2 linked regions of the Elephas maximus indicus genome follow. The protein of the gene in region 1 interacts with the protein of each later gene in a pairwise test. Links are inferred from orthologs where the notes say so. Each region holds a gene or a part of one and is shown on either strand. Other genes may lie near its edges.

Region 1 (16,164 bases):
ATTTACTATAAGGATCCATCTCTTGGCACTCCACTTTATTACCCACCTGTGACTGAAATTTTTCATAAAGGAAAAAATACACTTCAAAAGAATACAACAGTTCTTTCAACAAGTTAAAATCATTTAGTCTTCTATAACTATACACTCTTACAATCAGGTTATATTTGGTTTATAACTCTATTAACTATATATTTTTGCAAGTAGGTTAAGTCAAATACACAAGATACTAAGCATTTAAATATATTCACCTATACCTCAAAAAAGCTGTTAAAGTATGTGTATCCATTTGTTATGTAGGGTGTGAAGTTTTTTTAAAACAATGCAAGCTTTAAATTATAACCAGTGATAAAAAACAATGCTCTACATTATTGGGCTTGGAATTAACCTCATTACCAAAAAAACCCCACTGCCATCCAGTCGATTCTGACTCATAACACTCCTATAGGACAGAGTAGAACTGCCCCGTAGAGTTTCCAAGGAGCGCCTAGCAGATTTGAACTGCTGACCTCTTGGTTAAGAGCCGTAGCACTTAACCACTATGCCGCCAGGATTTCCAACCTCATCGCAGGAAATTCAAAAATAGAGTTTTTAGAACATCTGTCAGTATGAAAAAATTCCTAACAGTTATTTGATGCATGTTAACCTTTTGCTAATGAGAACATTCAAGTCTAATAATTGCTAATACTGTTTATTACGTGTAAATGATGCAATTCTTATAACTCCTTTGCTTCATGTCTTTCCCCTCCCCATTTACTGATACTTTCATTTTAAATTTTGGAAGGGTTGGAAGAGCTGGTAAAACTATGAAAAAGAGTGGGGAGGAAGAAGCAACGTCTGAGACACCCGTACTTTTATCTACCACCCTTCAGCAACTACTATTCATTTCTGAAAGTTTGAAATCTACTTACCGGGGCACAGCAACTCACCTAAAGTTATACAACTATTTTTAGCAAAATAAAGAGAATACAGATATCTAATGTTTCTTCCTTTCATTGACATATCTTTAAAATCCTAAAATACAACAATGTGAGCAGGAAATGCTTTTGATTAAAATACTAAAGACCGAGAATATCAGTATACTTAATGAAATTAGTCAAGAGTTCAAAATGATTTATAAAGGGGTGGGCCAGACTGCTGTTTTTCCAACTGTGTCGCAGGGAACTTGTTCAGAGGCTACATGGGGCCTTGAGGGGTGAGCAGGGAGGGCCCAAAGATTCTTCTTTACCCCACCCCCATCTACCAGAACGACTCTGTTTTATTTTACACACTGAACGTTCATACACTTCATTTGAACAAAGAGTCAGAAGATTTTTAACGGTCTACCCCTGGTGATGCAGTGGTTAAGAACTCAGCTCCTTTCTAAAAGGCCAGCAGTTTGAATCCATGAGCTACTTCTTGGAAACCCTATGGGGCAGTTCTACTCTGTCTCACAGGGTCGCTCTGAGTCAGAATCAGCTCGATAGTAATAGGTATTCTGGTAAAAATTCAAGGATGCAATGATTCCAAAAAAAACCAAACTCGTTGCGATCGAGTTGATTCCGACTCATAACAGTGATTAAGTATATTTATATTGAATACATTTATATACAAATTGTGCTTTATTTTCTAGTCTCAGATTGTCAAAATCTACTGGAGTCATATATAGCTCTTTGCCAGTGAGCTATGTATGTTGCATTTATTTCCCTCCCACGTGAACCCACGGACTTGATTCATCTATACTCAGGCCACCTTCTCCACAGCAGTGTTCAGAGAAAAGCACCTAAGTCAGAAAAATCTCTGTCTTAAGACTAGATCCATTTCCACATTGACTGCTGATACCAATAGCCCTGATTCAATCTTGCCAACTCTTCAGGACTCCAGATGTTCCATTTTCTCTGCCCTCACGCTCCCTCTCCACCAAAAGACAAATTTTTTTTTATCTCTGACTGAAATTTTTTTTTTTTAATTGCACTGTAAGTGAAAGTTACTGGCTTAATTCTTAAACACTGGTAACATTTCCTGGTCTCTGCCTCAATCCATTTGTCAGTTATGCATTTTCTAGCACTCTCTGGTTTGTCTGACTTTTTTAAAAAAAAAAAAACAACACAGACTCTCTATAATTTGTAGTTTGAAGATCTTAAGCCTCAACTTCCATCTAGACCTTCCTATCCCAGCCTCCAATGGACAGTCCCAGCCCTCTGGCTGCTCTCTTTTGTTTTGTTTAGTACAAGGTTGGGCTTAAGTACCTTTGGTCCAAAGGAAGAAGGACCAGGCAACTGGTGCACCCCATATATCACTGCTCAAGGGACTCCCCTCAGGAATGGAGGTACTCTGGAACCTCAAGTGCCCCCAAAGAGCCACTCTTCACATGGTTCCTGGTGAGCTGGGCAGTGACAACCTTAAGGAAGTAGGAAGGAGACACATATAAGAAGGAACGGGAAAAAGAGGCAGCAGGGATAAGTTAGTGCTTTCTAGACAGTCCCACCTACCCCAGGTGCTGGCAACTAGCCAGGCACTATTTGCTATTCTTTTTTCTAGTTTAAGAAAATAGTCATGTTTCATAGAAACTTTCTTACAGTAGTCACTCCCATCTAGATCCCTTTGTGTCCAGCTGAGGATCTCAATTATACTCTGGAATCTCTTGAGGGTCTTTTGCTGAAAGTCATAAATGTGGTTTCATATTTTTTGTTTTTAAAGAATGAAAGCAATTATGGGAAATTTTTTCCTTCCTTTTCTCAAAAGTGGGGCAGAGAGGGCACTGTTATATCAGGCTTAACGATAGACTTTTAAGTTAATTTTATAATTAATATTTAGTCATCATCACTACGTGGAAAAAAATCTCAGAATTCTGAATTTACCCTTTATAATTATAAAGCATCTGCATTTATGAGTTTTTTTTCCTTTGAGGGGGATGTCTATTTTGGGGGATAATATAAAGGGACTGAAACTTCAAAATTAGCTAAGTGCTACAGTGAGAATTCCTAAACCTATGTGTTTCTTTTTAACCTTTATATTCAAATTCTCCACACATTGGAAAACAGAAATGCATCATTTCCATACTTGCTGACTTTTGTATGACATACCTTACAACATACTTTAAAAAACCAAAATTCAAAGGATACAATAACGTGTCGATCAGATGGGTTTCTCTGCCGTGTCCTTTCTAACTGGGTTAACTGCTTAGCTTCTCGATTCCTTGCTGTTAATGTTGCTTTGAGGTCATCCTACAGATATGCATTTTCTTTGTTAATATAAATTTTGGATTTAAGAAATAAAGTACACACACTCTGTTTTAAGACTAAGAGAAAGCTGCTTGTTTGCTCCAGGTGCCATTACTACAGGAATTATTAGTACTGCGTAACAAATGTGTATTTATGGGTGCATACGTCTGTTTCTTTAAAGTCCTTTAAATGAGAGAGACAAGAAAGATCATTTCAATGCAAAATTATAACCATAAATATATAAATAAATAAAAACGTATACAATACTGATTGTGGCTGCACGGGCATACACATTAATCAACTCAGTAAACAGTTAAAATGTGAGAATTTTATTGCATGAAATTGCACCCCAATAAAGCTGATTTAAAAAACAGAACTCCGTTACACTCATTTCTAAAGTCAAAATGTTATCACCAATTTAAAACAAAAATATAATCTTCTATTCATATAGTAAAACAATTTCTGTCGATATATTCTTTCTGACTACAAATATTAAATATCTAAAAGTTTCCATAACAAAAAAAAATAATATCTTATGTTGCTAGAGTAGTATACAGGCAGTCCCCAGGTTGCAAATGTCTGACCAAATAGACATTTGCCCTTCTGTGTTACATAAATTTACCTTCACTTTGAAACAACTCAATTCAACGTACAACAAATTCTTCATCACAATCACCTTCTCTTGCTGCAAGTGCAGATTTTAAATCATTAAAAAGGCTTTAAGCCTTTTCTCGCACTAAGCAAAACCAAAGCAAACCCACTGCCGTCAAGTCGAACTGCCCAATAAGGTTTCCACGGCTGTAAATCTTTATGGAAGCAGACTGCTACATCTTTCTCCTGCGGAGTGGTCGGTGGGTTCAAACTGCCGGCCTTTTGGTTAGCAGCTGAGCGCTTTAACCACTGCACTACTAGGGCTTCTTTATTGCACTAAAACCCCAAAAAACAAACCCCTTGCTGTTGAGTCCATCCTGACTCACAGCGACCCTACAGGACAGAGTAGAACTGCCCTGTAGGGTTTCCAAGGATTGCCTGGTAGATTTGAACTGCTGACTTTTTGGTTAGCAGCAGAATTCTTAACCACTATACCACCAGGGTTTCCTTCCTGCACTGAAGTGAGGCTAAATAAAAACCATATGCACCTGTTTCGACTTACCTACATACAAATTCGACTTAAAGACACCGTTAGGAACAGATCTTGTTCATAACCCAGGAACTGGCCTGTCCTTAGTAAACTCACAAAAAAACATTTCATTATTTTCAAAGTTCTAAGAAACGATCTTTCAAGGTATCTAAAGAGAATGACTAAACACTGCTTTTTACCTTTTATTAAAAGGACAATTATTAGAAACCTCATACGCCTTCTCAGAATACTTAACAACAGGAGAAAAAAATAGATTTACTCACCCGCTTCATTTTTACAATGGTTCCATAAGCTTTCAAAGGTTCAACTACTTTGGCTTCAAGTCTTTCAACCTAATGAAAATTATTATAAAACATAACTGAAAAGAAACACAGACATATCAAAATTTAAATTCTGAAATAAAACCTGTGTTTAACCTGAACACAATTACTACAGAGTTCAGTATTTTTTTTAAATTTAAGTTAAAACACTATTGTTTAACTTATTTAAATAAAAGGATTATCACCAGAAATGGGTAAGATTAAAATTCTAAATTCAAGCACATTAAAAATGGTTAATCTGTACAGTAACAGTGAAAACACAAATGTACCTGGTATGCAACATGACCAGAGAATGTCCCAAGGAGCTCATCCCTGCCAAACCATCAACTGTGTATGGCTTTTCGACCTTAAAGTTGCAGCTTTGGGGGCAAGTTTTAAGACACCTCAATTTTAATACAGCTACCATTTTCAATGTGTTAGCACAGTGTTGGATACTTCATATATGCTATTTCTGAAACATAAAAGCCCACCTTCCAGATAAGAAAATTGAAGCTGAAAAATATAGAATATCGGAAATATTTAAAGCTGCTCAAAAGCAAAAAAGGCCTAGGAAATGCTGTTATTAGCTGCAATTTTTCTGAGAAGTCATTTGTAAATTAGCAAAGCCTAGAAAATAAGATAAGTGGTCTCTGTTGCTGAGCTGTCGAACTATGCGGTTGATCGCTCTTCTTCCCCTAGTATACACTGATTCCCTTTTTCGTTATGCATTAAACAGTTTTTCGTAAACATTAATTTTTATCACATTTTGAGTAGCTATTTCTCTTACCATTACCACTAGTGGAAGGCACTGAAGAAAAACAGGTTAAAAAAAGACAAGTAGGTAGCATAAGAAAAGTGTATCACGGGAGAAAAATAACTCTCTCAGACATTAAATTTTTTTTTCTCTCAGTAGAGATGACACATAATTGTTTAAAATGAACATGTATTATTTTTATAACAGGTAAAAGGCTTTTTTGATGACACATTTATATAATCAGTGAATACATTTCATATTGATTTTTCTTTAGTTCCTATAAACAAAATGTACAGAATATTTCCTTTTAGGAAAATAAAAAAATAAAAAGAATGTTTCATTTTAGGAAAAAAAAAAAAAAATCCAGTCCCCACCAAGCATTTAAATATCAGGAATCCTAGAATCAAAACCATAACTACTCAGGATAGTTTAAAGTCTATATCATTTCTAATAACCCATACTGATTATCTGTTCTGTTCTCCTTTTTGTTGCCTACCTTTTGTTCATTTCATTTCATTGTTCATTAGCAACTCCACCATTTTGTAAGCAAGGGAAATAAAAGGAGAACAAACGTAAATCAGTTCACTTTGCTATTTGAGAAATAGCATAAAGGTTTTCTAGAAAAGGGTATTGAAATTATTGGCCAAAATGGGATGTTAGGACCATGTGAATATAAATTATTTTTGAGACAGTAAGTCCCCAGCTATCATGTATAACTGAGTGACTTGTTTATTACAGAAGACATGTCATAGAATAAGAACGCAACATTTTCCCAGAAAGTACCCCCAAACGTAATTAATTACTTCTTAAGTCTCTGAGCTTCTCTAGTTTCTAGTCTAGTTCTGTATGGATAGCAATTGTAGGTTCAAAGATTAATATTCTCATTTTACTTATCTTTGATCACAAATGTGTTCTAGGTTTTAAGAAAGGTCAAAAGCACCAATAAAAAAGTACATTAAAAAAACAAAAAACAAAGCAGCTGTAACTGGGCAACTTCTAACAAGTTAATCTGTGTCTTGGAAAACTAAATAAACATAACAAAATTCTTATGAAGTATTAAAGGAAAATAAAAGGCTTTTAGAAAGAAAACATTTACAGCACCATCTTCTACTCTCCACTGCCCCAAAAAAGGAAAAAACAAACAAACCCACAAATAACTACTGGGTGGTACAAATGGTTAACAGGAAAGGTTAATGAGAAAGGCTGGAGGTTTCAGTCCACACAGAGGCACCTCACAAGAAAGGCCTGACCAACTACTTACAAAAAAATCAGCCACTGAAAACCCTGTGGAAAACAGTTCTACTCCAATGCACATGGGGTCTACGTGAGTATGGATCAACGTGAGTATAAGTCTACTAGTTGGCAAGTGGTTAACTACTGGTTTGCATCAGTGCTTTTTTCTTTTTTTGTCAATGAAACATTGGCCAAACTCCAGAGCATGGAAGCATCTTGCCTATTTATTACTTATTCACATACCATTCCCAACATCTTGAATCTCCAGACACACTTTAAAATATGCTTACATGGACACCAGACATAGTCATGCTTCTTTTCTTTCCCATGGATACTAAGCTTACTATCACCTCTAAATGGCCACCCCTTGGCCAAAAACTGGCAGTGGGGAAATTCAAGACTTCAAGAAAAGACTCTAACGTTTGACTTGAAAATGGTAAAATAAATCCCAGAAAGGTTCCCTTCAACAGACTCACGCAGGGTAACGGACATGGAAATCTGTACGTTTATCAAGAGTGTGTTCACCACTGCAGTTAGGGAGATAACACGTGCACGTCTTCCCGGTTCCTTTATCCACTTCACTGCTCATTCGTAACAATGACGCTGTGACCTCACGCCATACCTCTGCTTGGCGATAATCCTGAAGTTTGGCAAACTCATCAGCAAAGTTTTTCAGGCCTTGCTTTAAATGTGGGGTCTCTGTGGAGGCATACACGTTGATTTCATTCACCAGGAGGTCTGCTTTGTCTCTCAGTCGGGCAGTTTTCCGCACGTAAGCAGCAAAGATTTGGCACAGTTCTCCAAAATGCTTCTCCACATTCGTGACAGCATCTTGCAGTTGTCTGGTCTGAGCGTCCCTAGAGAAAAAGGTGACACAAAAAGCAAAACATTCTTGTTAGAGACGAGATGCCTTCATCGTTATGTTAATTCAATATGCAAACATTCCCGGGCGTCTTGCAGCTTCGAAGACGCAACCATCAACAATCCAACGATCTCTCGGGGCGGATTCTCACCGCAATTTTGCGGATAATTGTCTCTTTCGCTCATCCAGGACCCCATTCCCAGCCTGGCCTCAATATCCCGACAGGGTAGGTCCAAGAAGAGGCCGGGCCCGGGCGGGCCTCGCACTGCGGGGTGCGGGCTGCGGGGCGTGGGCTGCGGGGCGTCTCCGCGTTACGCGGCCTGGGCGCCAGGAGAGGCGTGGGCAGCCGACTGCCTCTCAGGCTTCTGCACGGCCCGCGGCAGGGCCGGGACCAGAACCTGGGGAGCGTGGGTATGTGGCAGCCAGCCCACCCCCCGGGCTCCCTTCGGCCGCCGGGGCTCCCTCCGGCCCAGGGAGGTAGGCCCCAGAGAGCCACGGGTCGGTCCAGCCTCCTGCCTAGGCCGGAATTCGGCGCGGAGGCTCCTGGAGAGACGCTCCACGTCCCCTATTCGAGCCCTCGCGTGTAGGGCCTCCGGGCAGCGGGGCTCCGGGGTTGTTACCGGTTTTCCAAGCTGCGCCTCAACATCTTGCCTCGCGCAAGGCAGAGGACCCCGGGCGGGGACCCAACGACCAGGATCCGAGGGGCCCGAACGCGCGCTGCGGCGCGAGCCGCCGCCTACGTCGCCAGGAGCTGGAGAGCCCGCCCTGCGCGCCGCCGCGCGGACCCGGGCGTTTCTATGGAAACGCAGCGCGAGTCCCCGCGGCCGCGGCGTTCTCTGGCCCTGCAGTCAAAGCTGGAGTCACCTGGAGCCACCCCCACACATTCTTCCCCTTGGAGTTTATCGCAAGCAGAGGAAAAGCCCGCGGGGCCATTCGTCCTCTTTCAGAGCCTCATTTAGCAAACACCCAATCCAAGTCTTTCCAGACTAGAAAGGAGAAAAGGGACAATTAACCAATCACTCGTTGCCGTCCAGTAGATTCCGACTCACAGCGACCCAGTAGACCGGAGGAAAATGTAAAACTAAAAGCAAATAGGTTCTAGTCTGTGCTTATGCGACATTTAGTTTTATATAAATATATGTCAAATTGTCTGCGTCTCTGTGTTAAATCTGAAAATGTGGGCTCTTGGAGGTTGCCTTTGGAAGGGGCGTTTATTCTACAAGTATCTGTTGACTTCCTACTTTCTGGAACAGATTGTGGTAGACAATGGGAATAATACAAAGGTAAAAAGAAGGTATCCCTACCCTGAAGGGCCTTACAGTGTAATGAGGACTTGTTAGTTGCGGTGGGGTGGGCTCTAACTCATGGTAACCCAGGGTACAGGAGAACCAAATGTTGCCTGTCCTGTGCCATCTTCACAATCCTTGATAGGATGGAGTCTATTGTAATGGCCACCGTGCATTTTGAGTGCCTTCCAACCTATGGGGCTCACCTTCCAGCACTGTATTCGACAATATTCTGTTGTGATCCATAGGGGTTTCATTGGCTAATTTTGGCAAGTAGACCACTAGCCAGTGCTTGCTTCCTAGTCCATCTTAGTCTGAAAGCTCCTCTGAACCCTATTTAGCATCATAAACCAAAAACCAAACCCACTGCTGTCAAGTCGTTTCCAACTCATAGTTGATCCTATAGGACAGAGTAGAACTGCCCCATAGAGTTTCCAAGGAGCACTTGGTGGATTTGAACTGCCAACCTCTTGGTTAGCAGCTGTAACACTTAACCACTACATCACCATAGCAACACAAGAACCTCCACTGACAGATTGTTGATGACTTTGCCCTAGGTGAAATGGCTGGGAATGGAACCTGGGTCTCCTGCATGGAAAGTCAGAATTCCATCACTGAACCACCCCTGAGATAAACAACAGGAGACATTTCTTTCTCCTTTGAACAACCATGTCCTTTTAGGCCTATTGGCTTTTACTTGTGCTGCTCTTCCATGTAAACACCTATTTACCTTTAGGAATAAATACAAGTTTTAACTGTCAGGGAGACTTCCTAGGCTCCACCCATCCTTCTTTCATCAAGGCAGACTTAGGGGTCCCTTTCTCTCTTATATACAGGTTTTGTACTGTCTCCTGTGCACTAGACTTTGGGCTCTTGTAGGCAGAGAAAACATGGTCTTGGTTTTCTACTCCTCGGGGCTCAGTGCTGTTCAATAAAAGTTTTTTTTTTTTTTTTTTAAACAAATGCATTCCCCAGTCCTTTGTTACCTCTCTTATGGAACTCACCTCATTCTCTTATGTTACAACATGTAACTGTCTGCTCCCATTGCCTGGTATGTCCCAGGTGTTAAAATTAAATAACTCCCCAAAAGAATGGACAATGCTCCAAGACTTCTGGGCATGTTATCATTAGATATACCCCTGCCAATCAACCTCATTAATCTCCCAAGAATACCCCTTTTTTGTTTTCCCAAGGACCTTGATCACTTCATAACGGATGGTAGATGTTTAGCTTAAAATTTTCTTTTTCCCAAGACCTGTGTCTCTAAGACTTTTGTGTATTTCATGTGACTTGTTTTTTGCACTACTGTACAACCTTCAAAGGACCAACAGTACATTCTTTCATCAAGAGATTGTAAATGGCATGTAAGCAAAAAAACCACTTCGCCATAGCTGCACCAGTGTCTCTCAGTTTGCCCATTTGCACATCTCCCTCTTTCTCTTAGCAAATAGTTGATCTCCTTAATTGTCAGTCTTACTTATTTTAAAATAGGCATTGTGTTGGGCTCTGAGCATGCATTGGTGATAAGCAAAAAGCAGAAAAGTCTTTGCGCTTATAGAGCTCACAGTCTCCTGGGGGGGGTTGGGGGGTTGGCGGGGAGGGAAGTGGGGAAGAGACTGATAAACAGCTACACCTTAAATTGCAACTGAGGTATGTACTACTGTATCAACTTTTGCTGTGTAACAAAGTACTGCAATATTTAGTGGCTTAAAATTATCCTTTAGCTAGTGAGGAACCTTTTCATTTTCCTGAAATCCAGAGTTCTGGAACAATGGAGTTGGGGTGACCTTCCCAGGACATTTATCCTGGGGTTTCCTTTTGAACCCTGAGCCTTGGAGGAACTGGTTCCTGGATATGGCCTTTGAGTCAAACAATGATCTGGATAAACCAGACCAAGATAAAACTCACACACACAAATCCATTGTTGTCCAGTCAATTCAGAGTCATAGTGACCCTATGGGACAGAGTAGAACTGCCCCATAGGGTTTTGAAGGCTGTAATCTTTATGAAGGCAGACTGTCAAACCTTTCTCCCACAGAGCTGCTGGTGGGTTCAAACCACCGACCTTTAAGTTAGCAGCTGAGTGCTTAACCACTGCACCACCAGGACTCCTTACTAGATAAACCAGTAAGACCATTTTGCCTTGGGCATTGTGCTCTTTTGAAGAAATCAGTCAGTTTCGGGAAACAGACTCCAAAGATCAGATTGGGAGCTATGTTTAGGGTACATTGGTAATTATTTTAATTGTTCCTCCAGACACTGCTGTATGAAAATCCTTCCTGACCATAAATTAGTTTATCGGTTCTGTCCTGACCCTTTTTTCCACGGCAATGCCAATACGATTTCATGTAAGAGTGTTTGAAGTTCTCTCATGTTCAGAACATTTTTGACTCTCTAGGATTTTGGGTTAGTATAAATGTTATCCCAATTGGCAAATCATGTATTAAACAAACTTAAATCAATTCCTATTATTGGCTGAATATGATTTTTGTTTTAACACTAGTTTAAGATTCTGAGTTGTCTGGGTGTCTCTCGTACTTTGACTCCGCTCACCTGGGCTGTCATACCTTTCTGATCAGCTGGCAGGTCTGCTAGTGGCTGGATGATCTAGGATGGTCTCATTCATTTGTCTGGGAGTGGGGACAACAGGGGTTAACATGTTTCTTGTTCTCCCTGCAAGTTATCCAGGCTTCTTACTGTTGAAAGGGCTCCGAAACAATGGGAGAGGACAAGCGTCCCTGCTCAGGTGTCTTTCAAGTCTCTGCCCATGTTGCATTTGCTAAAATCCTATTGGTCAAAGCAGGTCATATGACCCAGAGTCAGCATGGGAGAGCACTCAAATTTTTATGGCTAGGGGGCAGTGAGGCGCAAATGGTAAAGCACTTGACTACTAGCTGAAAGGTTGGGGGTTCGAACCCACTCAGAGGCACCTTGGAAGACATGCCTGGTGATCTGCTTCTGAAAGGTCACAGTTATCGAGTAGTTCTACTTGATGGCCACTAACAACAACAACAATAGGGATGGTGAGTAGGTAGGGGGAGAACTGATGGCCACTTTTGCAATGGAACACAATATGTACTCTACCACAACCAATACAGAAAAGTATGTGGAACCAAGAGAGCATATACTTTCCACTGCCGCACTGACAATTTCCAACTGTTTCACCTCTAAAACCTATCCTGAATAATTTCTTCTACATTATCAGAATCCAAACGACCTTCATCATTTACCCCTACTGCAAAAACTTCCTTACTGAAAAGTACCCTTACGGCAAAAGCCTCCCCATGTTCACTGTTACAGGCTGCAATGCAAAATCAAAAATGTAAATCAGATCATGCCAACCCTCCACAGCCTCCCGGTGTGCTTAAAATAAAATGAAAAATCCTTATCCTGGCTGTTAAGGCCGTATCTCACTTCTGCCTACCCATCTATCTTCTCTGACTCCCCTACTGTGCTATAGCTACACTATCTTCTGCTCTGCATATATCAAGCTCATTTCAGAATCAGCTGTGTGTTTGTTATTCTCTCTGCCCCAAATGCTCCTTCCTCAGATCTTCACATACGTGGCTACTTCTTGTTATATGGGATTCTGCTTAAAAGTGAGGCTTCCCCGATCACCCAGAATACACTGTGTTTCCTTTGAAGCACATAACATTCTCTGAAATTAATCCATTTTTTTCTATGCTATTTCTGTCTCCCATGACTAGAATATATTCTCCATGAGAATACCTTTTTCACCGTTATATTTCCTGTACCACCACTGTGCTTGATACGTTGTTGCTAGCTGCCACTGAATTGGTCCCTGACTCGCGGTGACCTCATACACAACAGAATGAAACACTACCTGGACCTTCACCATTGCCTTGATTGGTTACAAATTGGATCCTTGTGATCCATAGGGTTTTCATTGGCTGATTTGTGGAAGTAATATCCAGGTCTTTCTTCCTAGCCTGTCTTAGCCTGGAAGCTCCACTGAAATATGCCCACCACGGGTGACCCTGCTGGTATTTGAAATACTGGTGGCTAGCTTCCAGCATCATAACAACATGCAAGCCGTCACAGTACAGCAAACTGGCAGATGGGTGGTGGCAGCATCGTACGGTAGGGGCTCAATAACTAGTTGAATTTATCAATGAAAAACCGAATGAATAAGTGAAAGCCCATGACCAAGGGAGCATGGTGTGAGTAAAGAAAAAGAAGAAAGCTAGTGAGGGTAGAGTGGAGGGTAGAGAGATATAGTTAGGGGCACTTCTTTTCTTATATGTTACACTTCCTCCTAAGATACACCGTCTCATAGAAGAGGAGCTGGCGGCCCAGGGAGGTCAAGTGTCTTTGCCAAGGTCACATGATGAAATAGCAGGAGAGCTGGAGTTAAATCCTTTGTCTTCCATCTCCAATGGTCTTTCCACTTTACCAGAATCTCTCTCTCTCTCTCCCTTTTTCTTCTTCCTCCTCTTCTTCTTCTCCTTCTTCTTTTTCTCTCTCAAGAATTATAATGTTTTGAAAGTTCTGAAACATAAGTTATTTTAATTAGTAAGTTGTCTTAGGCTGCGTTCTCTGGAGGAACGAAACCAGTAAGGCATCTACATATATACATGTAGCAATGGGTTTGGTATATATACATATATATATATATATGTATAAAAACCCATTGCTGTTGAGCCGATTCCAACTCATAGTGACCCTACAGGACGGAGTAGAATTGCCCCATAGAGTTTCCAAGAAACGCCTGATGGATTTGTACAGCCAACCTTCTGGTTAGCAGCCATAGCACTTAACCACTATGCCATCAGGGTTTTCATATATATATAGGGAGAGATTTATATCAAGGAAATGGCTCACACGGTTATAGAGGCTGGAATGTCCTAAGTCTGTGGGTCAGGTAGCCACAGGGGCTGCCGAACCCAAGATCGGCAGGTCAGAGAGCAGAGCTCTTGCTCACAGGCTGCTAAGACCAATGAATCCCAAGATTGGTAGGCAAGACCTCAGGTAAACTGCTAGCTCAAGTCCCAAGAACTGGAGGTCAAACAAACAGGAGCCAGCTGCAGGATCCAGCAAGAGCAAAAAGCCCACAAGCCTTTCCAGAATGTCCACTTATATTCGATGCAGGGCACAAGCCCAAGGAAACTCCCTTTCTGCTGATTGGCTGCTCAGAGGAGATCCCATCATGGAGGTGATCATAACATCATATGACTGCCGAAGCACTTAGAATCATGGCCCAGTCAAGTTGACATACAATGTTAACCATCACATAAGTGAATGTCATTCAGTATTTTGAGAAGAAGGAGGGTGTGTGTCGTAGGATCAGTCAATCTTTGGGGATAACATTACAAAATTCCTGAAAATTATTGTCCCAGGTTACAAGCAATACATGTACAGACTTTCTTAAACTACTATATCATATTTGTATATTTATTGTGAGAACGGCATAGTCTTATTTTGCATAATATTGAATGAATTCCAATTTATTTAGGATGGGTTAAGAGGGGGTCCAGTGGAGTCAAAGAGTTATATCACCCTTATTCACTCATTTAGGTTTATGTCTAAAAAACATAACTTCAAATACAGTTGTTCCATGTTAAGTAACTTGAGCAAGTTGTTTTAATGCTGATACATAGAAATAATACATCTCTCCAGCAAAAGATTTAGGTAGGGGTGTGTGTGCTTCGTCTAGTTTATTTTTTTAAAACACTTTGGAAGGTTCAGTATTTGAAGATCTGTAGGGACTCCCTCGAGGAGCCCTGGTGGTGCAATGGTTAAGAGCTTGGCTGCTACCTGAAAGGTCAGTGGTTCAAACCCACTAGGTGCCCAATGAGAGAAAAGAGCTGAATTCTGCTCCCGTAAAGATTGAAAAATAAAACCAAACGGGTTGCCATCGGGTCAATTGTGACTCTATATAGGACAGAATAGAACTGCCCCATAAGCTTTCCAAGGAGTGGCTGGTGGATTCAAACTACTGACCTTTGGTTTAGCAGCTGAGCTCTTAACCACTGTACCACCAGGGCTCCGCTGTAAAGGTTACAGCCTAGGAAACCCTATGGATTAGTTCTACTCTCTCTTTTAGGGTCTCTATGAGTTTTTTTTTTTTTTTTTTATGAGTAGGAACTGACTCCACACACAAGAACAAGGGACTCCCTCTAGTGGTTAGTTTAGTAGTTAAAATGATTTGGTCAACGCTAGAATCCAAGGGTTGGAATGAAACTGGCCCTGAAATCAGATAGTTTTTTTTGGCAGGGTATTAAGTAGAAATCACCTTTAACTAGTAGACTCTGACATCTTACAACTTGGACATAAAACCTGTCTCCATTACTATATCAAGCTTTAACCTGCATCAGAATAATTTTTAGAGCGTGTTAAAACACAGCTTTCTACCAACTCTTCAGACAAAGATTAGACTGGACGGCACTGGGTTATAAGACATAAAATGATATTGGTAAGGAGTACGTTTCTTAGCTCCAGTAGACACATGAGACTATGTGGGCAGTTCCTGTCCACAGGTGAGATGAGAAGGCAGAGGGTGAGAGGAGCTGGTTGAATGGTCACAGGAAATACAGGGTGGAGAGGAGGAGTGTGCTGTCACATCATAGGAAGAGCAACTAGCGTCACATAACAATGTGTGTATATGTTTGTGTACGAGAAACTGACTTGAATTGTATGCTTAAAGCATAATAAAAAAAAAAAAGGAGGAGAAAAAACAAACAAACAAACAAACAAACAAAAAACCCCACAGCTTTCTAGGCCCCAGGCCCAGAAAGTCTAATTCAGAAGGTCTGGAGTGAGGACCAAGAACATGCATTTGTAACAAATTCTCAGCATATTGATGCTGTTGGTTCAAGACCACGCTTTGAGAACCACTGTTCCAGACTCCTGTAGTGACGAAACTCAGCCTCGACTTCCTTACCGTTTAGCCTACTTTACCTCATAGGATTATGTGAAGATTAAGTGGAATACTGGATGTTAAGTATGGTACCTGACACAGTAAGTGCGCCACAAAAGTTAACTGCTATTAATATCATAGTAGAGCTGTGAGTGTTTTCTAATTTGGAAAATTGAAAAAACAAGGTAGAACTTCTTAATAATATTGTTGTTGAGCTAATACTCTAGCTAAGTTATATCAGTTATTTATCATTCAGATCTTTGTTCTTGACATTGTGCAAAGCACTCTTAAAATATCTATTAGCATTTCCCTAATTATTAACATTATATTTAACATACGGTTTTTGAAAAGATGATATAAAACAAAAAACTTATGTTGAGGGGAGTATGTCAAAGGGATATAGGAGTCAACTGAAAGAGCTTTACCTTTCTAAAGACGGACTGTAATTCCTTACTCTTTAAGCGTGGGCTGTACATAGTGACTTCCTTACAGAGTACAGTATAGAAAGGTGG
Region 2 (16,164 bases), on another chromosome or scaffold:
TGTGATTAGGACATGGGATGTCTCAGAGGGACCATCAGGCACCAGAAATTGAGAGCCTGGGCCTCTGCCTGGCCTGCTTCACTGGATGCCCAACATGGTCACAGTGGGGCTTCCCCCCCATGATTTTGACTAGGGACTGGAGACGATGGGCTCAAAGACCGAAAGGCCTGGGTGAATGCTCAGCCCTCACAGCCCCACGCCCCTCACCTTCTGTTAAGGACTTCTAGAAAACATCAGGGAAACCAGGCTCCATGACTTCTTGGCTTAGACTGACAGCCTGAGTGTGTGAGAGCCACATGGGCAGGTAGGATCACAGCGAACATAAAGTACCCAGTACTTGGTCACAGCTGCTCTAAAGACGTCTCTGTGTGTGTGTGCACGCGTGCTCATGCACGCATGCATGCATCAAGGGGTGGAGATGGGGGGGCCATCTCACAACTAGGAATGGAAATTGATTTGGATGTGGTCTAACTTCAAACTCCTAATTTTTAAAATTTATAGAGACTGTACATTCAAATAGACAGTAGGTCGCTTTGGAAGGCTATCATTTATCCCAATGCTATTGCCATTGCTCCAAACACTGCTGTAACATCTCTTTTGCAACTACCTTTGAAGCCATGGAATATCCTCTGGAATGCCCTTAATGGTGGCAAATTACCATCCTTTGAGAATAAATTTGATTCATGGAAGTAACTAAAATTAATTCCTGGCTAAGCCTTGAGAATAAAGTAAAAGTCAAATTGGATATTGTTTGGGGCCAAAAACCATAGTGAAATTGACTCTCTTATTAGGTTCTTGCACTGGGTCTGGGTATTAGGTTCTTGAACAATGTTGTTGTTGTTGTCAGGTGCTGTCGAGTCGATTCCGACTTATAGCGACCCTGTATACAACAGAACGAGACACTGCCCGGTCCTGTGCCATCCTCAAAATCATTGCTATGTTTGAGCCCATTCTTGCAGCCACTGTGTCAGATCATCTCATTGAGGTCTTCCTCTTTTCCCTGACCCTCTACTTTACCAAGCATGATGTCCTCCTCCAGGGACTGGTCCCTCCTGATAACATGTCCAAAGTATGTGAGACATAGTCTTGCTATCCTTCCACTTAAGAAGCATTCTAGTTGTACACCTTCCAAGACAGATTTGTTCGTTCTTTTGGCAGTCCATGGTATATTCAATATTCTTCGCCAACACTGCAATTCAAGGGCATCAGTTCTTCTTCAGTCTTCCTTATTCATTGTCCAGCTTTCGCATGCATACGAGGCGACTGAAAATACCATGGCTTGGGTCAGGCGCACCTTAGTCCTCAAGGTGACATCTTTGCTTTTCAACACTTCAAGGAGGTCTTTTGCAGCTGATTTGCCCAACGCAATGTGTCTTTTGATTTCCTGCCTGCTGCTTCCATGGGTACTGATTGTGGATCCAAGTAAAATGAAATCCTTGACAACCTCAGTCTTTTCTCTACTCATAATGTTGCTTATTGGTCCAGTTGTGAGGATTTCTGTTTTCTTCTTGAACAATAAAAAACCAGTGCCGTCAACAGGTCCTGACAATTTCCAAATTAGAGTTCAGAAATATGTTTTCACCGATAGCAATGAGATGAGTTAAAAGGATGCCCTGAGGACCACACTTTGCACCACAGACCAGGCCTGCCACTGCAGGCATCCACTGTGCTGACCACAATTCCAATACTCACAGAGTGAAGGTTGGAGAGAGAAGCTGACTTCCGAGGAGGCGTCTTCTTCGGACTGAACGTATTCCCAAAGAGAGGCATCTTTGGCCTGATGAAGGAAAGGTCAATCACTGCTCCCTTCTCCTAGAGTCAAAAAAAAAGTCAAGGATGGAAAAAACTGGATTAGTGACCTTGTGCCATTTTCCTCAAATCATGGAGACATATACATTTTGCCTCACGGCTTTGTCTGAGTATAAACTATTACCAATCTTGACAATATCTCAAGTGTGTTGACTGCTCACTATGCACCAGGTGGTATGCTAAGACCTTTACATGCAATATCTCATTTAATTTTCATGCAACCCTGTGATTAGTGCTTATTATTATCCCCATCTGACAGGACATGTGACATCTCATCTAATCCTCACATAACCTGGTGATTAGTGCCGGTTATTACATCCATTTGACAGATGAGGTTTAGAAAGACTGAGATCATAAGTGCGAGATGGATTCGAACCCAGGTCTGTCCAGCTCTACCGTGTGTTAACCACTATTGTCCAGTGCCTACCCTGCCTGTCTTAAGTTTTGTCACGGTTGGCATCAGCAGATGTGTAGTCTACAGCAGTCAATGCAATCCCTCCTATTCCTGCACACCATAAAAATTACACCTGGAGCAATCGCCCTGCATACAGTCCATTTTAAAGAAATGAAGCCTTGCTGATATTTCACTCCAGACTGCTAACAGTGCCCCTCACTAGGTCATATGTCAGAAGGCTGCCTGTCCCGTATGGTGAGGTGTCCGGAGGAAAGGGGGAGGTTCACAACGTGGCAGAGCTGACAATGGCTCCTCATCTATACATCTGCTTTCTGCATACTGCGACCTAGTGCAATTCACGAAGGCACAGTTAAATAAATTTACTGACATCACCCAGTTTTTCTCGGGGGGTGTGGGGAGGTAAACTTTTTTTAAATCAGTGTTAACAGACCTACAGAAAAGTACACAGATCTTAAGTGTGGCTTGAGGAGATTTTACTACACGCATATACACATACACCTGTGTGATCACCGTCCAGATCAGGATACGGAACATTTCAGCACCCCACAAGCCTCGCCCAAGCCCTTTGTGTCCATGGACTTGTATAATATGTCCTCTTTTACTTCTGGCTTCTTTGATTCAACATATTTGTGAGATTTCTTTCTTTTTACTCAACATCATGTAGTTGTAGTTTGTTCCTTTGCACTGCTGTAAAATATTCTACTGTTTAAACACACCACAATGTATTTATCCACTTTACTGATGACGGACGTTTGGATGGTTTCCAGTTTTCAGCTCTTTTAAATAGTGCTGCTATGAACATGATTAGCCATGTATTTCAGTACACACATGTACACTTTTCTGGTTCTCTGTGTAGAATTGTTAGTCACAGGGGATTCATACATTCAGATTTAGTAGATACTGCCAAACAGTTTTCCAAAGTCATTGTACCAATTTGTACTTCTACAAGCACCGTGCAAAAGATCTTGTTGCTCCACAACCTTGTTAACTTTTGGTATTTTCTGTCTTTTCCTTTTATCCATTCTGGCAGGCGTGCAGTGGTATTGCACTGTTTGTTTAATCTGCTTTTCCCCGATAACTAAATTGAATACTTTTTCACATACTTATTGGACATCGATAAAACCCTCTTTTTTGAAATGTTCAAGTATTTTATCATTTTTTTTTTTACCTATTTGTCTTTGTTTTCTTATTGATTTGTAAGGGTTCTTTATATATGTTGGATATGAGTCCTCTGTTAGATATATGTACAGCACTGAAAAATATCTTTTCTCAATCTGGGGCTCACCTTTTCTCTTCCTTATTGGTTTCTTTCGACTAAAGAAATTCTTAATTTTAATTAAATCTAATTTATCTATTTTTTATAGTGTTTTTGTGTCCTATTTAAGAAATTTTTGTCTGCCAAAGAGCATAATGGTATTATATTAACTTTTAGAAATGTTATCAACTTTCACATTTAAGGCTATGATTCATCTGGAATTTTTGTATATTGTGTGAGATACAGGTCAGGGTTCTTTTTTCCCATATATTACCCAATTTTAACTTAAAATACAGAAATAGCTTTAAAAAATAAGTATATTTTACTTTCTCTTCTAGAGCCACCCTTTAAAATCCTCTGTTCAGCTCTTTTACATCAACATTTCTTCCATTCGTTTTAGCTACTCTACGTTCAAGAATAAATTTCAGAGTCTCTTCTGACATCCATTTTGGTCTTTTTTTTCTTTCCTGTCTTTTTAATGACCTTTTGCTTTCTTCAGGTATGATGTCCATGATGTCTTACCACAACTTGTCTGGTCTTTTTGGTCATTAGTGTTCAATGTGTCAAATGGGATATACTCAAGGTCATACTTTGGCTCTCGTGGACTTGTTTTTTCTTCAGTTTCAACTTGAACTTACATATAAGCAATTGATGGTCTGTTCCACAGTCGGCCCCTGGCCTTGTTCTGACTGATGATATTGGGCTTTTCCATTGTCTCTTTCCACAGATGTAGTCAATTTGATTCCTGTGTATTCCATCTGGTGAACTCCATGTGTATAGTCGTCATTTATGTTGTTGAAAAAAGGTACTTCCAATGAATAAGTCATTGGTCTCGCAAAATTCTATCACGTGATCCCTGGTGTCATTTCTATCACCAAGGTCGTATTCCAACTATTCGTCTTTTTTCCAATTTTTACATTCCAATCACTAGTAATTACCAATGCACCTTGATTGCAGGTTTGCTCAATCTCAGACTGCAGAAGTTGGTAAAAATCTTCAATTTCTTCATCTTTGGCATTAGTAGCTGGATTATAAATTTGAAGAACTGTCGTATTAACTGGTCTTCCTTGTACTGTGTGGATATCATCCTATCACTGACAGCACCGTAACTCAGAAGAGGTCTTGACATCTTCTGACAGTGAATGCCATATTGTCCCTCTTCAATCTGTCATCCCCGGCGTAGTGGACCATATGATCGTCCAACTCATAATGGCAATACCAGTCTGTTTCAGCACACTAATGCCTAGGGTATGGATCTTTATGCGTTCCATTTCATTTTTTATGATTTCCAATTTTCCTAGATTCATACTTCATACATTCCACATTTCAATTATTAATGGAAGTTTGCAGCTGTTTCTTCTCATTTTGAGTCATGCCACATCAGCAAATTAAGGTCCCGAAAGTTTTACTCCATCCACATCATTTAGGTCTACTCTACTTTGAGGACCCCCACGTGCCTGTCAAGTTTGTTGTACTAGGGGGGCTTGCGTGTTGCTGTGATGCTGGAACCTATGCCACTGGTATTCAGATACCAACAGGGTCACCCATGGCGGACAGAGTTCAACTGAGCTTCCAGACTAAGACAGACTAGGGAGAAGGACCCAGCAGTCTACTTCTAAAAAGAATTAGCCAGTAAAAATCGTATGAATTGCAGCAGGACACTGTCTGATATAGTGCTGCAAGATGAGCCCCCCAGGTTGGAAGGCACTCAAAAGACAACTGGGGAAGAGGGTCCTCCTCACAGTAGAGTTGACCTTAATGATGTGGGTGGTGTCAAGCTTTTGGGATCTTCGTTTGCTGATGTGGCACAACTCAAAATGAGAAGAAACAGCTGCAAACATCCCTTAATAATCAGAATGTGGAATGTATGAATCTACGAAGACCTTCAACGAAATGGAGCGATACAGTGGCTGCACCAATGGGCTCAAGCATAACAACAATTGTGAGGACGGTGCAGGACCAGGCAGTGTTTTGTTCTGTTATACATAGGGTCACTATGGCTTGGAACTGACTTGATGGCACCTAACAATAATAACAACAACATACTTGAGAATTAAAAAGGAAAAAGAGCCAAACCCATTACCGTTGAGTAGATTCCGACTCATAGCAACCCTATAGGACAGAGGAGAACTGCCCCATAGAGTTTCCAAGGAGCACCTGGTGAATTTGAACTGCCAACCTTTTGGTTTGCAGCCATAGCACTTAGCCACTATGCCACCAGGGTTTCTTAAGAATGGACTGCCATAAAATCTATCATATTCAAATACATACAATGGTTTGTAATAATGAATGAATACACTACTTTGTGATGCTCATGGCAACACTGCGTGGTTCAGAAGTGTTTCTTAAGTGTTTTATATGCATAAAACTAAAAAACCAAACCCAGTGTTGTCGAGTCGATTCCGACTCATAGCGACCCTATAGGACAGAGGAGAACTGCCCCATAGGTTTCCAAGGAGCGCCTGGTGGATTTGAACTGCCAACCCCTTTGGTTAGAAAGGTAAAATATATACTGTATACTAAGACAAACATTTGACTAATTGATACTAAATAAGAACCATATGTACCTGTTCTGTTGTTGTTGTTAGGTGCCTGTTCCAACTTACCTACCAATTTGCCTTAAAGACAGATTTAGGAATGGATCTCAATCGTAACCCAGGGACTGCCTGTACTGTGCCCCTGATCAGAATGATTAGTAGTGGTAGCTGGGAACCATCTAGTTCTTCTGGTCTCAGGGTAGATGAGGCCATGGTTCATGCAGACCACCTGTAGACTAGTTTCTTCTTTGAGTATGGGTTTCCTTCTTTCTCTTGCTCCAGATGAGTAGGGACCAGTAGTTGTATCTTACATGGCTGCTTACAAGCTTTTAAGACCCCAGTCACCAGTCAACCAACCAACTCATTGCCATCAAGTCGATTCTGACTCATAGCGACCCTAAAGGACAGTAGAACTGCCCCACAGAGTTTCCAAGGAGTGCCTGGTAGATTCGAACTGCCAACCTTTTGGTTAGCAGCCATAGCTCTTAACCACTACACCATCAGACACTACTTACCAATGTGGAACATGAAATCAGGTTTTATATCAAATATTGTTAAAGATAACTCATAGAATGAATCCATCACTATTAGCAAAATATGTATCCAACAAGAAAATGAAGAAAAACTAGTATGCTGTTTTCAGTTATGCCAAAATTAATTTCACTAAAATTAATGACAGACATTTAGAAGCTCTTTTAGGGATTTTTTGTGGCGCAGTGGTGAAAAGCTTGGCTGCTAACCAAAAGGTCGGCAGTTCGAATCCACCAGCTGCTCCTTGGAAACCCTATGGGGCAGTTCTACTCTGCTCTATAGGGTCGTTATGAGTCAGAATTGACTTGATGGCAATGAGTTTTTTGTTCTTTTACATTATACGGCACAGAAATATACGTATATATGATTTGTAAATAAATACAAGGATACTGAGGGCGCGTGTGCTCATGATATTTTTATCAGGTAGGTATGTGTTTATAATTAAAACAGTTTGGCCCTGGGCACAACAATTCGGGGCTTGAACAAACCAGAATGCTTCCAGCTTGGTGGTGGAGAAGACAGGGGTGGGGACCAGGATGTTGCAGGAGTTTGAAGTGTGCCACCATGTCATCTGAAACACACAGGAAGGCCCTGGGGCATAGTTTCTGCTGGAGAGGAGAAAGGTGGTGGTCATACAGAAGATGGAGGAGAATTACCTTATATCTGTAGAGGACAAAACAAGAATGAAACAGAACAATACCCAGGGAGAAAGATATTAACTCAAACAAGAAACGGCAAAGTACCAAACACTAATGAATATCACTGCCTGTATACCCATCATGGGCTGGGCCCTATGTTGTACATATTTTATGTATTTCTTTTATTCCTCGCAGCAACCCTGCAAGTAGGTATTTTCCTATTCATATTAAAGATGAGAAAACTAGGGCTTGGAGAAGATAACCAATTTTCTCAAGGTCCACAGCCAGTGAGTAAAGGAGCTAAGCAAGACTCCTAAGCCCATTAAAAAAAAAAAGACTCCTAAGCCATCCTTCTTCCTAGGTACCATACCACCTCAGGAAGAACTTTCTTACATTCAGAGCTAGCCTGTCCAAAGATGAAAAGGGCTGTATTGAGAAGGAGGTGTAACACCTACTCCCAGAAGTAGTTAAGCAAGTGGAAGACTCCTTGCTGTGTTGCCACAGGGTAAGGATTTAGACTGTCCAATCCCAAGATTCCTTGATCCCATGGTCAGTTGGCTAAAGCAGTATACCAAATTACCCTTGTATAAAAACTTGAAGGGCATGTGATAAGAAGCACCATTTTCATGCTGGATATTGGCAAATTTTTTTAAAAAAGGGTACCATTCAATGCTGGTGAGGAGGTAGGCCTTAGGAAGGCCTGCTTGCAAGGTTAGTCCTTGGCTGGTTCTGGGAACTTGAACTTCAGGAAGGTCCTTGCCATTCCCAGAATTGATAAGAGTGCTCACCGTGCCTAGACTGTACAAACAGCGGTTTATGTTGAACACCTGCTTTCCTTCTGGGAGTTTGGAATCCTGGTATGTGCTAGGCAGAGGGTGCCTAAGGGACCAGGCCCCAGTTAAAATTCTATGCACTGAATTTCTAATGAGCTTCCCTGGTAGAGATTTCACCCGTTTTCACAACTCATTGCAGAGGAATTAAGTGCATCTTGTATGACTCCTCTTGCCTGGTTTCCTCCAGACTCAACGCACCTTTTCCCGTTGCTGACTTTTCTTTGTGTCCTTTCACTGCAGTAAATCGTAACTGTGAGTGAGATGATATGTGGTGTCCTGTGAGTCCTCCTAGTGAATCATCAAACCGGGGTGGTCGTCCTGACCCCCGACATAGTGGGGAAAAGACACTTTCATTTACCATTGGTGGAAACATAAGACGTTATAATTCCTTCAAGGGCAATTACACAAAAAGCCTAGCAAAATTTTAAATATGCCTACTTTCTGACCAGCAAATCCATGTCTAGAGATTATTCTTCAGAAGCACTTGTGCATGTTCACACAAATGTTCGCTCTTGTTAATAATACTGACAAACAAGAAGCAATGCAAAACGTCTACACCAGTGGTTGGTGCAGCCAAATAAACTGGGATACATTCTTATAATGGAATACTAAACAGTCATTAAAAACAATGAGATAGCTCTATATGGACTGACCTGAAAAAACCTACAACATACGCCCTAACTTTAAGAAAATGAGGGGTGCAACAACGTATATAGTATAATTTCATACGAGAAGACACAAAGACAAAAGTGAGAATTTACACATGCGCATAAAAACAACAAAGACCTGGAAGGATGCACCAAGCTGTTTATAGTGGTTAAATCCAGGAAGAAGAGTAGGATAATGAAGTCCAGTGGGACTGCCATTTTTATTTTTATTGTGCTTTAGGTGAAAGTTTACATCTCAAGTTGTTTTCTCACACAAAAATTTATATATACATTGTTATGTGACCCTAGTTGCTATCCCTATAATATGACAGCACACTCCCTCTTTCCAGCCCAGATTTCCCATGTCCATCCAATCAGCTCCTGTCCCTTTCTGCCTTCTCATCTCACCTCCGGAAAGAAGCTGCCAATTTAGCTAAGAAGCACACTCTTCACGAGTATCATCAAATGAAATTGCCATTTTTTATAGGTAAAAGATGGTCAAATAGTGGGAATTTCATAAAATATAATATAATGCTAAATTATTTATATTAAAGAAATATACTGGTAAGATAATATTTCATAAGTGCGTTCTTGATCCAGAATGGAGGCCCTGGCTAAACACTCTCTGGTCTCCTTCTTCGGCAGTTGGCTAAGCCTACTCCAGCTCCTTTCTTATCACTGCTGGGCTCCAACAACACATACCCAAATGCCAGAAGCCCCGAGATGCCTAACACTTAGGGATGACACTTTCTTCTTGGGTCTGAAGAATTATTCAAAATACCCAATTCCAAAGAAATCCATGAAACCTAGCTAACCCACCCTGCTTACCATACATAAGCCGTCTCCTACAGCTCCAGCTTGCTGTTATCCTGTCCCCAGGTGCAACCGCCCGTGTGGCCCTGTGTAGCCCAGCGTGGCAGCCTTCTCTCGTTTGGAGCTTTAGTAGCCAAGAGTTCTCCCTTTCATCTATCCGAGGGACTCTGTGTTGCGTCCTGCCATCCAAAGAATCTATCATCAAACCTTGTAGTTAGGTGCTATCGAGTCAATTCCCACTCAGAGCCACCCCACGTGATAGAGCAGAACTGCCCCACAGGATTTTCTAGGCTGTAATCTCCGCAGGATCAGATTGCCAGCTCTTTCTCCCAGGGAGCCACTGGGTGGGTTTGAATCACCCACCTATTAGATAACAGCTGAGTGCTTAACCGTTGTACCACCAGGACTTCTAATATAATTATAAAATACTTCCGGATTTAATGACTTTATTATAATGACAATATATTCACATATTAGTTACGAAAACAAAACAAACAAAAAAGAGATAAAAAGCAGCCCCTCCAAGCATTTGGAGACACTGGAAGAAGAAAAAATAAGCCAAGTTGTTCCTGCCCAAGCCTCCGATGATGCTACAAGCACTATGCCTGAGCACATCACCTGGACACAAGAGACCAGGTTCTAGGCCTGGTTCTGCCCATCAGTTGCTTGCTAAACCTTGGCCAAGTTGCTTTATTTCTCTGGGTTTTAACTAAGGCACTTGACTCATGACCTCATTAATTCTCATAATCTTTAAACCAAGAATTGTCTTCCATGTATCACAGTTGAGGAAAAGGAAGGTCTGGGACTCTGGGGCCTTAGTGTCCCTGGGAGTCCCTGGGTGGTACAAACGGTTAAATGCTTGACTTCTAGCCAAAAGGTTGGCAGTTCAAACCCACCTGGAGGTGCCTCAGAAGACAGGCCAGGCAATCTGCTTCCGAAAGGTCACAGCTTTGAGAAAACCCTATGGAACAGTTCTACTCTGCACACGTGGGATTGCCAGGAGTCAGAATTGATTAATGGCAACTAACAACAACAACGAAGCATGGGCCTGAGGGTCCCAGCTATTTAAAAAGGGCCCAAGGCAGCCTTCTTTTGGTGAAACTCCCTGGGGAGAGAGGGCTCAGCACAAAGGATGTGAAGGCAGAGGAGAACACCTGGGTTCCAACCATTAGTCTGCCGCTCAGACTCCAGCACCTATCATCTCTGGGCCAAGGCCTCTTCACTTGTAATCAAGGATACTCATAGACCTGACTCACAGGTTGTCATAGTGCTTTATAAAAACCTGTGGCATTTAATCCTCACAACCACCCTGGGATGCAGGTCAGGTAAATATTCCATTTACACATCAGAAAACTGAGGCTTAGAGAAGTCAAATAACTTCCCCAAATCACACAAGAAGGTCATGGAATGAGGCTTCAGCCAAGGTCTACTCCTATCCTCCGAGAATAATAATCACTAACGACAGTGACCCTTTACAGTTTGCAAAGGGTCACAAAATGCATTGCCTTATTTTAATTCTAATAAGAAGGCAAAGGAGTAGTTTTTGATTTTCATCAAATTCTCAAAGGGATACGTGTCTCGCAAAGGGTTAAGACCAGCCAAGCACATGCCTCGGGTCACCCAGGGCTGTCGGACTCAAGGAAGGTTGTAAACAAACGTTCACGTACAATCGGGGGAGGAATTACCGTGCCATTTTACAATCGAGGAAACAGACCTAGAAAAGGGAGGTGATGGGACCCGGCCTCCGCCCCCTTCCTCACGTTCCCCTGGCCCTCCAGCTGCGGGGAGGCCCTAGATAAACTGAGGAACCTTCTCCCGCGGTGCCGGGGCGTCCCACCCCTCCTCTGCCCCTCCGGCCTCGCTGCCCCGGCGGCGCCGAGCTCGGAGACGTACCTGACGCTGTACCAAACGCCACGGTCGAAACCCAGCCGAGACCTCGCTCGAGGACCCCACCAGGGTCCCCCATCAACCGGCGCTCCCACGGCTGCCCGGCCTCGCCACCGCCCGCCCACCGCGCCTGCGCAGCCTCGACCATCACAGAAAGTGGGGGTACCCGGCGCGGCGGGGTCTCCGACGCGTGCCTGCGCGAGGCACCAGAAACTCCCGCAGGCTCCCCGAGACGTATTAAACGGCGTATACAAAGGCAGTGCCTCGCGGAGGCTTTTACATGCCCCATATTATAGGTCGGGACGAGGAGCCATCCTCGCCCTCCCCACAAATCCATTGGTCTGGTCCCTACAGCCCGCGGGGCGGCCCGTCACCGTGGTAACGGCGTCTGGCGGACGCCACCGTGGCGCCGGCGGGCCCATTGTTTTGGGAACGTGGCAGTTGCGCCTGCGTTGCCTTGAGAACGCCGGGACTCACAATAGCAAAATGGGCCTCTCCCTGACGCCTCCCCTCCTCCTCATCCTCTCTGACCAAAAAGCAAAGGGCACCAGCCCACTTTCCAGAAGTTTGCAGGGTCCCCTGAGGGACCTGTGGCAGAACCGGCCCCGAGGTCGTCGGATCCCGCCAATGCTTTCAGGTAAGACGGCTGCACTGACGGACGAGGACCCGCCTTTCTGCCTTGGGCAGCGCGCGGGCTGCCCGCGGGCCTGCCCCCTCCCTGCGCCCCGACTCGTCGACTTCTACAGTCTGGGGAAACTGAGGCACAGGGGTCGTTTCAAGGTCGCATAGTGAACAAACAACAGAGAACTAACTACTCAAGGATCAGCTCCAGAACTCCTAAAGCCTAACAATGTGTATTAGTACCGTCTGATAAATAAACTCAGGGTCATTTATTTTTTCGTTCAAAGGATATTTACTGGGTGCCTAGTGGATGCACCAGCTCGTCCATCCAGTGAGGGACAGAAGCCCAGAGTCTCCTGGTTCCACGTGCAACTACAGCACACTGCACTGAGGAGAACGTTCCACGTCCTGGAACCAAAATCGGCATGGCCCAGCCAGTGCTGTCCCGTAGAAATGTCATGTGAGCTGCCAAAAAAAAAACACCAAACCCACTGCCATCAAGTCAATTCGGACTCACAGGGGCCCTACAGGACAGAGTAGAACTGCCCTGTTGAGTTCCCAAGAGGCGCCTGACAGATTCCAACTGCAGATCTTTTGGTCAGCAGCCTTAGCACTTAACCACTACACCACCAGGGTGAGCTACAGGTCATTTAAATTTGTCTGGTAGCTACATTTTAAAAGGAAAAACAAAAAAGAAACCTAAAAAAAACAGGTGAAATTAATTTGAATAATGTCAAATCAGCCCCCAACGCATGGCGACCCCGTGCACAGTGGACTGAAATGCTGCCAGGTCCTGTGCCCTCCTCATGGCCGGTTGTGGATTGGACTGTTGTGATCCATAGGATTTCCGTTGGCTGATTTTTGGAACTAGATCACCAGGCCTTTCTTCCTAGTCTGTCTTAGTCTGGGAGCTCCACTGAAACCTTTTAAGCACCACGGCAACCACAAGCCTCTGCTGACAGATGGGTGGTGGCTACTCGTGAGGTGCGGTGGCCGGGAATCGAATCTGGGTCTCCTGGTTGGAAGGCGAGAATTCTACCACTGTGCCACCACTGCCTGCTCAGGCAGCTTCTAATAGGGGAGGCTGTAGGACTTCCCTTCTTTGGTAGACTGCTGATTGTTCACTTAACTGGGTCAAAATCCACTATTATGTCATCTCATAGCACTGTGTAACTTCGAAGCAGTGGTCGCAGTTATAATTGCATAATGATTTGTATAATTTTTGATTATTGAACGTCTCACCCACTAAACATAGCTCCATCAGGGCAGGGGTCATGTGTGGTACAACTCACCCTTCCTTCCCCAGTACCAGCACACTGCTGGCATCTGGAAGGCACTCAGTTAATACTCATTGAATGACTGAAAGTTAAACTAGATACAAGCGAATTCAAACCCAAGTCTGTCTTTAAACAGGGGACACTTGACCATCAGCTGCCAGAGTGTGTGTGCTCCTTGAGAGCAGAAGGTGTCTTATTCTTCCGCTCATCTGCCCCTGGCATTTAGCACAGTGCTTGGCACAGGGTACCCAGACCCGCACAGAGTAGATACTGTTGCTTTACACAAATAACGCATGCCTTCTATGTTTGTTTGCCAACCGTCCTCCCCACCACCCAGGTACTTTCATAAGCCCTGCTATGCCAATTTTTTTTCTTTTTTTACATGTTGCTGTAGAAAATTGGCATAGCGCACTTACGAAAATACCTCGAGGGGGGAGGGCACAGCTGGCAAACAAACATAGGAGGTGCACATTATTTGCATAAAATACAGTATTCAATGAAGGTTCATTTTCTCCCCTCTTCTTTCCCACCCAAGTAGTGACAATAAAAACTTATCTTTTTCAAAGAATAACCAAAAAACCAAACCCAGTGCTGTCGAGTCAATTCTGACTCATAGTGACCCTATAGGACAGAGTAGAACTGCCTCATAGAGTTTCCAAGGAGTGCCTGGCAGATTCGAACTGCTGACCCTTTGGTTAGCAGCCGTAGCACTTAACCACTCTGCCACCAGGGTTTCCTTTCAAAGAATATTTATCCTAAAATGATGTGAGGAAAAATTCAGAATGGAACAGAGTGTGCGTTTTAAACACTTCTCTCAAAAAAACATGATATTTATACAAATGGCCAATAAGCACATGAAAAGATGCTCAACATCATTAGTCATCAGGAAAATGCAAATCAAACGCAGTAAGATGCCACTTCACACCCGCCAGGATGGCTATTATATTAAAAAAACGAAAAATAACAAGGGTTGGTGAGGATGTGGATAAAGTGGAAGCCTCCTCCATCGCTGGTGAGATTGTAAAATGGATTAGCCACTGTGGAAAACAGTTTGGCAGTTCCACAAAAAGTTAAACGTAGAACTACCTTATGACCTGTATATTGCACACCTGGGTAAACACCCAAAAAATTGAAAGCAGGGACTCAAACAGATACTGGTACACCAATGTTCATTGCAGTGTTATTCACAACCCAGGTGTCCACTAACGATGCATGGATAAACAAAATGTGGTATATCCATACAATGGAATATTATTCAGCCATAAGGAGAAATAAAATTCTGATATATGTTACCACGTGGGTGAACTTTGACAGTATGCTAAGTGAAATAAGTCAGACACGAAAGGACAAATATTGTATGATCTCACTAATATGAAATGTCTAGAAAAGGCAAATGCATAGAGACAAAATAGATTAGTGATTTCCAGGGGCAGGAGCACTAGGGAAATGAACAGTTATTGCTAAACAGGTACATACTGAATTTTTGCTTGGGGTGATAAAAAACTGGAAATAGTGGTGATGGTTGCTTAACGTTGTGAATGCAATTAACGTCACTGAATTGCACACTGAAAATGATTAAATTGGAAAATTTTATATTATAAATACTTTACCACAGTAACATTTTTTTAAAAGCACAATATTTAATTCTTCCATACTTGGTATCGTTAGTGCCATCGAGTCAGTTCCGACTCACAGAGACCCTTTGTACTATGGAATGAAACACTGGCCAGTCCGGTGCCACCCTCACAATTGCTGCTGTGTTTGAGTCCGTTGTTGCAGCCGCTGTGTCAGTCCATCTTGTCAAGAGTCTTCCTCTTTTTTCCAGACCCTCTGCCTTACCAAGTATGATGTCCTTCTCCAGAGACAGGTCCCTCCTGCTAACATGTCCAAAGTACATGAGACAAAGTCTCGACATCCTCACTTCCGAGGAACACCCTGGCTGTACTTCTTCCAAGTCAGACTTGTTCAGTCTCCTGGCAGTCCATGATATATTCAATATTTTTCACCAACACCACAATTCAAAGGCGTCAATTCTTCTTCAGTCTTCCTTATTCATAGTCCAGTTTTTGCATGCATATGAGGCAATTGAAAATACCATGGCTTGGGTCAGGAGCACCTTAGTCCTCAAAGTGACGTCTTTGCTTTCCAACACTTTGAAGAGGTCTTTTGCAGCAGATTTGCCCAACGCAGGATGTCGTTTCATTTCTTGACTGCCGCTTCCATGGGCGTTGATTGTGGATCCAAGGCACGAGTAACAGCATCGAGCTAAAGCAAGAGGCTTCTCAGCCAGGTAGCCCTAAGCCTGGCTTTTCGGGGAATGCTGTAGCTTTGGGGTCCTGCTGGGGAGTGAGGGAGAGGAAAGTGAGGAGCCCTAAAGAGCTCCTGCCTCCTTTTTACTCCCAGCCCCCTTGCCTCTATGGCTAAAGGCTAGGAGCAGGAAGGAAGAAATGATACTGAGCTGGGTCTGGGCCAGGTTTTGCTATAATCCAGCAAGCTTGGGACAACCCAGGATGGATAAATAACTTCTTTGGACTAGGAAGGAATGAGGTGAATGAGTCTTTGAGTCAAATATGGAGTGAACCTAGTCCTTAAGGAGTACTTTGCTTAGTGGAAAAAGAAATTGTTGTTGTTAGCTGCCATTGAGTTGACCCCCAACTCATGGCAACCCCACCCACGACAAAATGAAGCGCTGCTCGGTCCGGTGGACCAGGGTGTTGTGATCCATAGGGTTTTCATTGGCTGATTTTTGGAAGCAGAAGCAGGTAATTCCAATTTAATATTGTAAGTGCTGTAATAGAGTGATGAAAGCAGAATCCTGGACTTGCACAGAGGGAGAGTTGGACTAATGGCCTAGAAGAATTCAAGAGGGCTTTCCAGAAGATCTCTCACCTGGGCTGAGCG

The links.
Region 2: the proteins of CIBAR1 (region 1) and CBY1 interact in binary tests that used the Homo sapiens proteins (3 or more experiments, as listed by UniProt). The two-hybrid records come from large-scale screens. The link is inferred for Elephas maximus indicus from reciprocal best matches to the Homo sapiens genes CIBAR1 and CBY1.

Annotation. Positions count from the first base shown.
Region 1 is NC_064833.1:48,275,309-48,291,472, forward strand, and holds the start of CIBAR1 (CBY1-interacting BAR domain-containing protein 1), read right to left. Parts: upstream 8,262-16,164; 5' UTR 8,136-8,261; coding exon 8,110-8,135; intron 7,485-8,109; coding exon 7,250-7,484; intron 4,674-7,249; coding exon 4,605-4,673; intron 3,204-4,604; coding exon 3,063-3,203; intron 1-3,062. UniProt on the Homo sapiens protein: Plays a critical role in regulating mitochondrial ultrastructure and function by maintaining the integrity of mitochondrial morphology, particularly the organization of cristae.
Region 2 is NC_064822.1:182,551,614-182,567,777, reverse strand, and holds the start of CBY1 (protein chibby homolog 1), read right to left. Parts: upstream 7,156-16,164; 5' UTR 7,114-7,155; coding exon 7,036-7,113; intron 1,813-7,035; coding exon 1,693-1,812; intron 1-1,692. UniProt on the Homo sapiens protein: Inhibits the Wnt/Wingless pathway by binding to CTNNB1/beta-catenin and inhibiting beta-catenin-mediated transcriptional activation through competition with TCF/LEF transcription factors.